Anolis sagrei: one gene and its partner. The protein of the gene in region 1 purifies or fractionates together with the protein of each later gene. This does not show direct contact. Links are inferred from orthologs where the notes say so. Each region holds a gene or a part of one and is shown on either strand. Other genes may lie near its edges.

The links.
Region 2: the proteins of UBLCP1 (region 1) and PSMC1 purify together in Homo sapiens (affinity purification with mass spectrometry; 3 studies listed by BioGRID and IntAct, with this or other methods). This does not show direct contact. The link is inferred for Anolis sagrei from reciprocal best matches to the Homo sapiens genes UBLCP1 and PSMC1.

Annotation. Positions count from the first base shown.
Region 1 is NC_090022.1:79,050,068-79,053,989, forward strand, and holds the start of UBLCP1 (ubiquitin-like domain-containing CTD phosphatase 1), read right to left. Parts: upstream 2,675-3,922; 5' UTR 2,573-2,674; intron 2,556-2,572; exon of another isoform or gene 2,426-2,555; intron 1,143-2,425; 5' UTR 1,092-1,142; intron 1-1,091. UniProt on the Homo sapiens protein: Dephosphorylates 26S nuclear proteasomes, thereby decreasing their proteolytic activity. Recruited to the 19S regulatory particle of the 26S proteasome through its interaction with 19S component PSMD2/RPN1.
Region 2 is NC_090021.1:314,839,317-314,843,238, reverse strand, and holds the start of PSMC1 (26S proteasome regulatory subunit 4), read right to left. Parts: upstream 2,626-3,922; 5' UTR 2,523-2,625; coding exon 2,520-2,522; intron 419-2,519; coding exon 365-418; intron 1-364.

The DNA of each region.
Region 1 (3,922 bases):
AGGAGATGGGAGGTCAAAATAAATTATGTGTTTGCACTATCTCCAATTGTTGTTGTGGGGGTTTTTCCTTTCTTTTTCATTATTATTTATTTATTCCATTTTTACACACACACATCTTTCACCCCCGCCCCATCCCCTTTATCCCACTCGCTCATATGTTGATGTAATTTTGTTTTTTTTTTTAGTTTTGTAAATGTTAATAATAATAATAAACATAATGGGTTCACTTCCCAACAAAAATGTGCACAACTGCTATTAAGATCAAGTAGAACATAGCTTTAACGGTCTACATAGATTTGGAAGATGTTTCAGATTGCAACATGTCTCCTAAGAAATATTCTTCACAACATGTAAAGGGGACTTACTCCTGGTAAAGGCTTTTACCAAAGAAATGTAAAAGAAGTATGACTGAGAAAAGCATTCTACATTTAGTAAAATTATGGTTTCCATAATCCATCTGCTCATGAGGAAATCTGTGGTCACCACAAAGCTCTTAAGCAAGAATCCAGAGAAAGATGTCTGCATTTGGTGTCCTGCAGTTGTAATATATTAAGTGGTTTGCTGTTAAAGGATAGTGTTCATATATTACCTTCGAGCTGACATGAAAATCCTTCTGTAGTTTGAGCATGATTTTATGTGTAAAATCATGATCAAACTACAGAAGGATTTTCATGTCAGCTCGAAGGTAATATATGTACACTATCCTTTAACAGCAAACCACTTAATATATTACAACTGCAGGACACCAAATGCAGACAACTACTTAAAACTTTATTTGAGAGCTTTAATTAAATCTTCTGACAATATGACTCCAGATGGGAAGCTCAAGACATCACATAATAAGATGCAAAATAGAGGCATGGCTGAAACTGTTTGCATTTCCAAGCCACCAGGTAAAGTTATTCCATCAATAACAGTATTTGGATTGCCTGAACAACTAATAAAGTTTTCTTCAGGCTAATGTAAATTGGATGAAGGTCTCATTACAGAAGAAATAGTGTCTTCATTCATCTGAGCTCACGCTTCCACAATGCAGAGTTCTCAATTCCTCATACAGCCACAACAGGATTAAGCTATAAGGAATACAGTACCTTTAATTTTGAGGTGGATGAAGTAAATATTTAGCCTAGTAGCCTTTAGTCCTGCATAAGGAGAAATGTGGGATATAAATAAAATAAAACAAGGTGTGTTGACATATGCAAAAACTAAACATTCAAAAACAAAAGTGCTGCTTACTTTAGGAAAATTTTGACAACATACTGATTAGAGCCCCAGTATATTTTAGTTATTTAGAGAGAAAAATTTGAAGTTTGGATTGTTGTTGGTTTTTTCGGGCTCTATGGCCATGTTCTAGAGGCATTCTCTCCTGACATTTCGCCTGCATCTATGGAAAGCATCCTTTGAGGTAGGATGCTTGCCATTGATGCAGGCGAAATGTCAGGAGAGAATGCCTCTAGAACATGGCCATAGAGCCCGAAAAAACCTACAACAACCCAGTGATTCTGGCCATGAAAGCCTTCGACAATAATTTGAAGTTTGTTTTTTTCTTTCCAGGATGACCCATAGTTCAATATCAAAGAACAAGCTTTGCACACTAAAGATCCCATGTTCAGGTAGAACTAAGAAGATCTTTCAGACTCTCAAATCATTTTACATAGTAACTCTCAGAGTTTAAGGCAGCTCTGTGTGTTCACTTGCTTATAAGCAGGACAGGGAAAAAGACACACAATCTAAACACCTACAGAAAAGGAAAAAAACGGGGAAGAGGGAGGGGGATCCAACTTATACAAATACCTCCCATTCTAACAGATGATGATTTATATCCTACTTTATGTATTAGCATGAAACCAAATTAGTTCTGCTGTATGGATATACTTTCATTTTTTAAATAATTTTCCCACATGTAATGAGACACGCCTATGTTTTAAAAAGATCTACCCCTCCTTTTTGCTGACTGTTTTAACTCTGAGGGTAGAGAATCCATTATTTCTATACTAAAAATACTTAATTTCAGTATTCTTATGGGCAATGGTTAATTCCTCCTCAAGGTAAGCAGTCAGAAAAGGATTATATCAGGCCTGAGCCAACTTGGGCCCTCCAGGGGTTTTGGACTTCAATTCCCACCATTCCTAACCGCCTCAGGCCCTTTCCTTTCGCTTAAGCGGCTGAGGGGGAAAAGGAAAGGGCCTGAGGCGGTTAGGAATGGTGGGAGTTGAAGTCCAAAACCCCTGGAGGGCCCAAGTTGGCCCAAGCCTGGGTCACATGAACGCAATGTATATATTTACAAGTGTCTGGGCCACATATTCTCTCAGAAAGAAGTCCAAACTCGGGGTGAATTGGCTTTAACGTGCTGCAGGCCGCCTTGAGTCCTGCCCTGGGAGAAAGGAAGGAAGGAAGGAAGGCGGGCACAAGTGAAGGCAAATACCCGGGTCCAGGCGCCCTTTCTTCGCCCTGGGCCTTCCTAGAGAGACCGAGGCGGAAAGGGGAGGGAGGGAGGGAGCCTCTCCTTCGGAAGAAGAAGCAGCAGCAGCGAAGCCGGCCAAAGCCGGGAAAGAGGAGGACTCCGTCTCACCCCGAAAACGACCGTCCCGGGAAGCAGAAGGCGCAAACGGGAGGGGGGAGCGGACCGGAAGAACTTGTTGAAGCGCCCGGAAGTGGAGACCCGGCCGGCAGGCGGAAACATAGATATAAGTAACTTGTAGAGGGAAACTCAGCTCTGTTGCTTCCGAATACCGCGGCAGTCATTTTGGTTTGTTTGAAAGAACGCGACAGGTGCCTCATGTGTCTCTTCTGGCGTTTGAAACGTGTGCTGCTATCTTGGGGGTGTGTTGTGTGCCTTCACGTCGCCTGCTGGGTTGTACCTTTGCGCTTGAGGATCCTGTCCACCTCCTCCTTCTGCCCCTTCCACTGAGCTGTATGACATCCACATTGGACTGGATTATCTGGCAGTGTGGACTCAAATAACCCAGTTCAAAGCAGATCTTGTGGGCCATCTGCCCTGATATTCTGGCTGTGTGGAAGGGACCGTCATAGCTATCCTAATCCTGGCACATTTTTGATTGCAAATCAAATAATGCTTGCGCGCAGAAAGTCTTTCAAACTGCGTTATATGGCAGTGTGGATGGGGCCTTTGACCACCTCAAAGCCTTCATTGTCTACTTCAGAGTTGTGTGGTTACTCTCACCCAACCTATTCAACTTGTATGCAGAACACATCATGCGACATGTGGGCCTTGACAAATCCAAGGCTGGAGTTAAAATGGCTGGAAGAAACATTAACCTTAGATATGCAGATGATACCACTTTGATGGCTGAAAGCGAGGAGGAGCTGAGGAGCCTCCTAACCAAGGTGAAAGGACAAAGTGCAAAAGCTGGGTTACAGTTAAACATTAAAAAAAAAACCAAGATGATTGATAACTGGCAAATAGAGGGAGACAACGTGGAGGCCGTGACTGATTTCATATTTTTAGGCGCAAAGATTACTGCAGACGCAGACTGCAGCCAGGAAAACAGAAGACATTTACTTCTTGGGAGGAGAGCAATGACCAATCTCAATAAAATAATTAAAGAGTAGAGACATCACATTGGCAACTAAGATCCACAGTTAATGCAATGGTATTCCCTGTAGTAACCTATGGATGTGAGAGCTGGACCATAAGGAAAGCTGAGCAAAGGAAGATAGATGCTTTTGAACTGTGGTGCTGAAGAAAAATTCTGAGAGTGCCTTGGACCGCGAAAAGATCAAACCAGTCCATCCTCCAGGAAATAAAGCCCAACTGCTGACTGGTGGGAAAGATATTAGAGACAAAGATGAAGTACTTTGGCCACATAATGAGAAGACAGAAAAGCTGGGGAAAATGGAAGGAAAAAGGAAGAGGGGCTGACCAAGAGCAGTGACTGCCTTGACCTTGAAAGAGCCGTGT
Region 2 (3,922 bases), on another chromosome or scaffold:
AAAACCCCATCTGATCTCTTCCTTAAAGTCATGTTAAATGAGAAAGAGATGTGGGTAATTCCTGGTTACAAATCAGAGTTTACAATAATGTCCAAAGTGACACATTACCTAAAAGCAACTAATACAATACTTAGAAGACTTAGAAAACTAGACTACTGCATTGCCAGTCTGAGACAGAAATAACATATAAATGAGATACAAAGTTTCTTATGTAGAAAGTGAAAGTATGTCTGAGAAAGTGCAATTTGAATTTTTCAATTTGCATGGAATATTTTTTCTAGAAGAACATTTAATGCTGCACTTATTTCAAGAAAGTCCATTATACACCTCATCCACACAAAATCCCTTATTTCTTTATTCTTACTTTGTCATCCTTCTTGCTACCCCCAGGGCCATGTCCACCACTCTGACTTTGACCCTAATGGGAAAAAAAAACAAGCAGAATATAATATACAGCTGAAAAACAATTGTTTCCCTTAGTGCAGTTGAAATAACATCTATACAGGTATATGTCAATTAACAAAGTGGATGTATTCCTGGGCTTTACCTCTCAAACAGAAACTTTGGTACCAATGGAAAAAAAATGTCCTGGAAAAAAATAGAGCTAGGTTTCTCACTACAAAGAAAAGAACAGCTGTTCAACAAGTTTCAAGCAAACTTTTTTTATTCAAAACTTAAATTATGCACAGGTAAACTGAAAACAAACAAAGACATTTTGAATTCTCTGGAGACCACTCGATAGTTCTTTCCAAAATGTACCCAGAGAAGATTGTTTTCTTTCAACAATCTCCTTTCATTATAATTTTCATTTCAGTGGCAAGTATTTTATTTTTTTGCAATATATCAAGGTAGCTGGTAATGCCTGCTAATGTCCTTTCCCCTTATTGTAGATACAAGGTGGATACTACACTGGGTCCCGGCCCCAAACAGGGTCCCCTTAACTCAAAATTGGGGTCACGAAAAATGTGTCAACAGCAAAAGGTTTCTGAACCACCCATTTACACAAATCTGTTAGTAACAATGTGCACTGTTGATAGTGGCCTCTGCAGAAAATGCTTCAGCTGTACTCCTCACAAAAAGGGGAAACTGCAGGTGTTTTTGACTTTAACTCCCACAGTTCCTAACAGCCGGTGGGAGTTGATGTCCAAAATACCTGGAGAGTCAAAGTTTGCCAGCAAAAATATGATAGCTGGGACCCTACGCTGGTTGCACACTGTGGGTCAGAATTCATGAAGGGAAGATATGTATGAGACAGTGCAGTGAGTGAGAGATGCAGCTGGGAGGAAGGAAGGAAGGGAGAGGGAGAGGGGGAGAGGGAGAGGGGGAGGGGGAGGGGGGAGGGGGGTCTATGGCTTACACATCCTGCCTCCTGGAGTCCCCACTCCTCCACTGTCAAAAAGCTGGCAGGGGAAAGCACAAGAAGAGGGGAAGAGGACTCTGGTTCCTGCTGCTCTGTTTGCACTTGGCCCTTGTAAAAACCTTCCCTGGCTACCAGCACACTTTCCGCCCTTTGAGGAAAGCAGCTCTAGCAGCTGAGAAAAGTTCAAGCGGACTTCCCTTCATTAATTCTGACATGCATTGTGCAACCAGTGTAGGGTCCCAGCTATCATATTTTTGCCCGTTTGCCCATGCCTACTCTGGTGTCATGAGGCTATCAGTCCCACTATGCCTTTGCAGACTCACAAAAAGTAACTGCTGTCGATTCACTTGCCTTTTGTGATTTTCCCTATTAATATAATTTGTTCTTTTGAGCACACACTGATGTTGACTGACCCCGCATGAGGAAAAAGAAGAAAAAACCTTTGGATTCCTTAATAATATGCCCATTTCTGGGACAGTGGGGAAGTCTGGCCAAGAGACATCCAGACCATTTGCTACAGGAGGCATCATCAAATGTAAGCTGCTAGGAATTGTGGGAGTTGAAGTCCAAAACACCAGGAGGGCCTAAGTTTGCTAAGGTCTGTTCTACACAGAGTCACTCCACTTTTGGCTGCCTTTACACTGTAGAATTAATACAATTTGGCATTACTTTAACTACCATGGCTGAATGCTATGGAATCACAGAAGTTGTAGTTTTACATGGTCTTTAGCCTTCTCAGCCAAAGAGGGCTGTTATCGATCAAGCTACAGCTCCCAGGATTCAGCAGTATTAATTCTACAGTTATAGATCAGGCCTGGGCAAACTTGGGCCCTCGAGGGGTTTTGGACTTCAACTCCCACAATTCCTAACAGCCTCAGGCCTCTTCTTTTCACTGAAAGGAAGGGGCCTGAGGCTGTTAGGAATTGTGGGAGTTGAAGTCCAAAACACCTCGAGGGCCCAAGTTTGCCCAGGCCTGGTCTAGACGAAAGATGAGGGACGATGACAAGGCACAACACTGCGAAGGGGACGGACGAACCAAGGACTGAGCCTAAGGAGCAGCTCTCCGCCCTCCTCAGGGCACCCGCTTCCCTCAGGGACGCCCACCACAACACAACTCCCACAATCCGCTCTCTTCGCCCGCGGCACCCTTCTCACTTACCATTCTGCTCACTCACAACCCGCCGCCGGAAATGCTCAAACTTCTCTGAACAGCGGAAGCGGAAGCAGGCCTGCTACGGGACGCGAGGAGGGTCAAGCTGTTGCTAAGGAGAGGGGGGCAAGCGCGCGAGGGGGAGGGCGGGGCCAAGCGTTGCTGTGGAGACGGAGGCAAAAGGAGGCGGGGCCAAGGAAGAGTCAGATTTACTTGGCATTCCAAAAGGAGAGGAAGGAAGTGGAGCAGTGTTTTGGTGATGGCAGCTAGACAGACAATCATGTCTCTTTGGTTGTTTCATTATATAAAATATAATATAAATAAAAATATAATACAAGGATAAAATAGAACATAAAATAGAAATATACTATAAATAATATAAATAAAAATATAATACAAGGATAAAATAGAACATAAAATAGAAATATACTATAAATAATATAAATAAAAATATAATACAAGGATAAATTAGAACATAAAATAGAAATATACTATAAATAATATAAATAAAAATATAATACAAGGATAAAATAGAACATAAAATAGAAATATACTATAAATAATATAAATAAAAATATAATACAAGGATAAATTAGAACATAAAATAGAAATATACCATAAATAATATAAATAAAAATATAATACAAGGATAAAATAGAACATAAAATAGAAATATACTATAAATAATATAAATAAAAATATAATACAAGGATAAATTAGAACATAAAATAGAAATATACCATAAATAATATAAATAAAAATATAATACAAGGATAAAATAGAACATAAAATAAAAATATAATATAAAATAATATAAATGAAATATAATACAAGGATAAAATTGAACATAAAATAGAAATATAATATAAAATAATATAAATAAAAATATAATCAATGATACAATATAAAATAAATACATATAATACAAGGATAAAATAGAACATAAAATAGAAATATAATATAAAATAATATAAATAAAATATAATCAAAGGATGCAATATAAAATAAATAGAAACAATACATATAATACAAGGATAAAAATAAATAAAATAAAATATAAAAATAAATATAAAAAGATAAAATAGAACGTAAAATATAAATACCTTGAGAACCGCATCTCGGCCTACGAGCCCACGAGGACCTTAAGATCATCCGGGGAGGCCCTTCTCTCGGTCCCGCCTGCCTCACAGGCACGCCTGGCGGGGACAAGAGAGCGGGCCTTCTCGGTGGTGGCCCCCCGGCTGTGGAACTCCCTCCCTGCTGAAATCAGACAGGCGCCTTCCCTCATGGCCTTCCGCAAGGGCCTGAAAACCTGGCTCTTTGAGAAGGCCTTCAACTAAGTGCTATGTTTTTGGAATGACCACCGGAATGGACCATGACTACGAGATTGATTATGACCCTAAACAAGACGA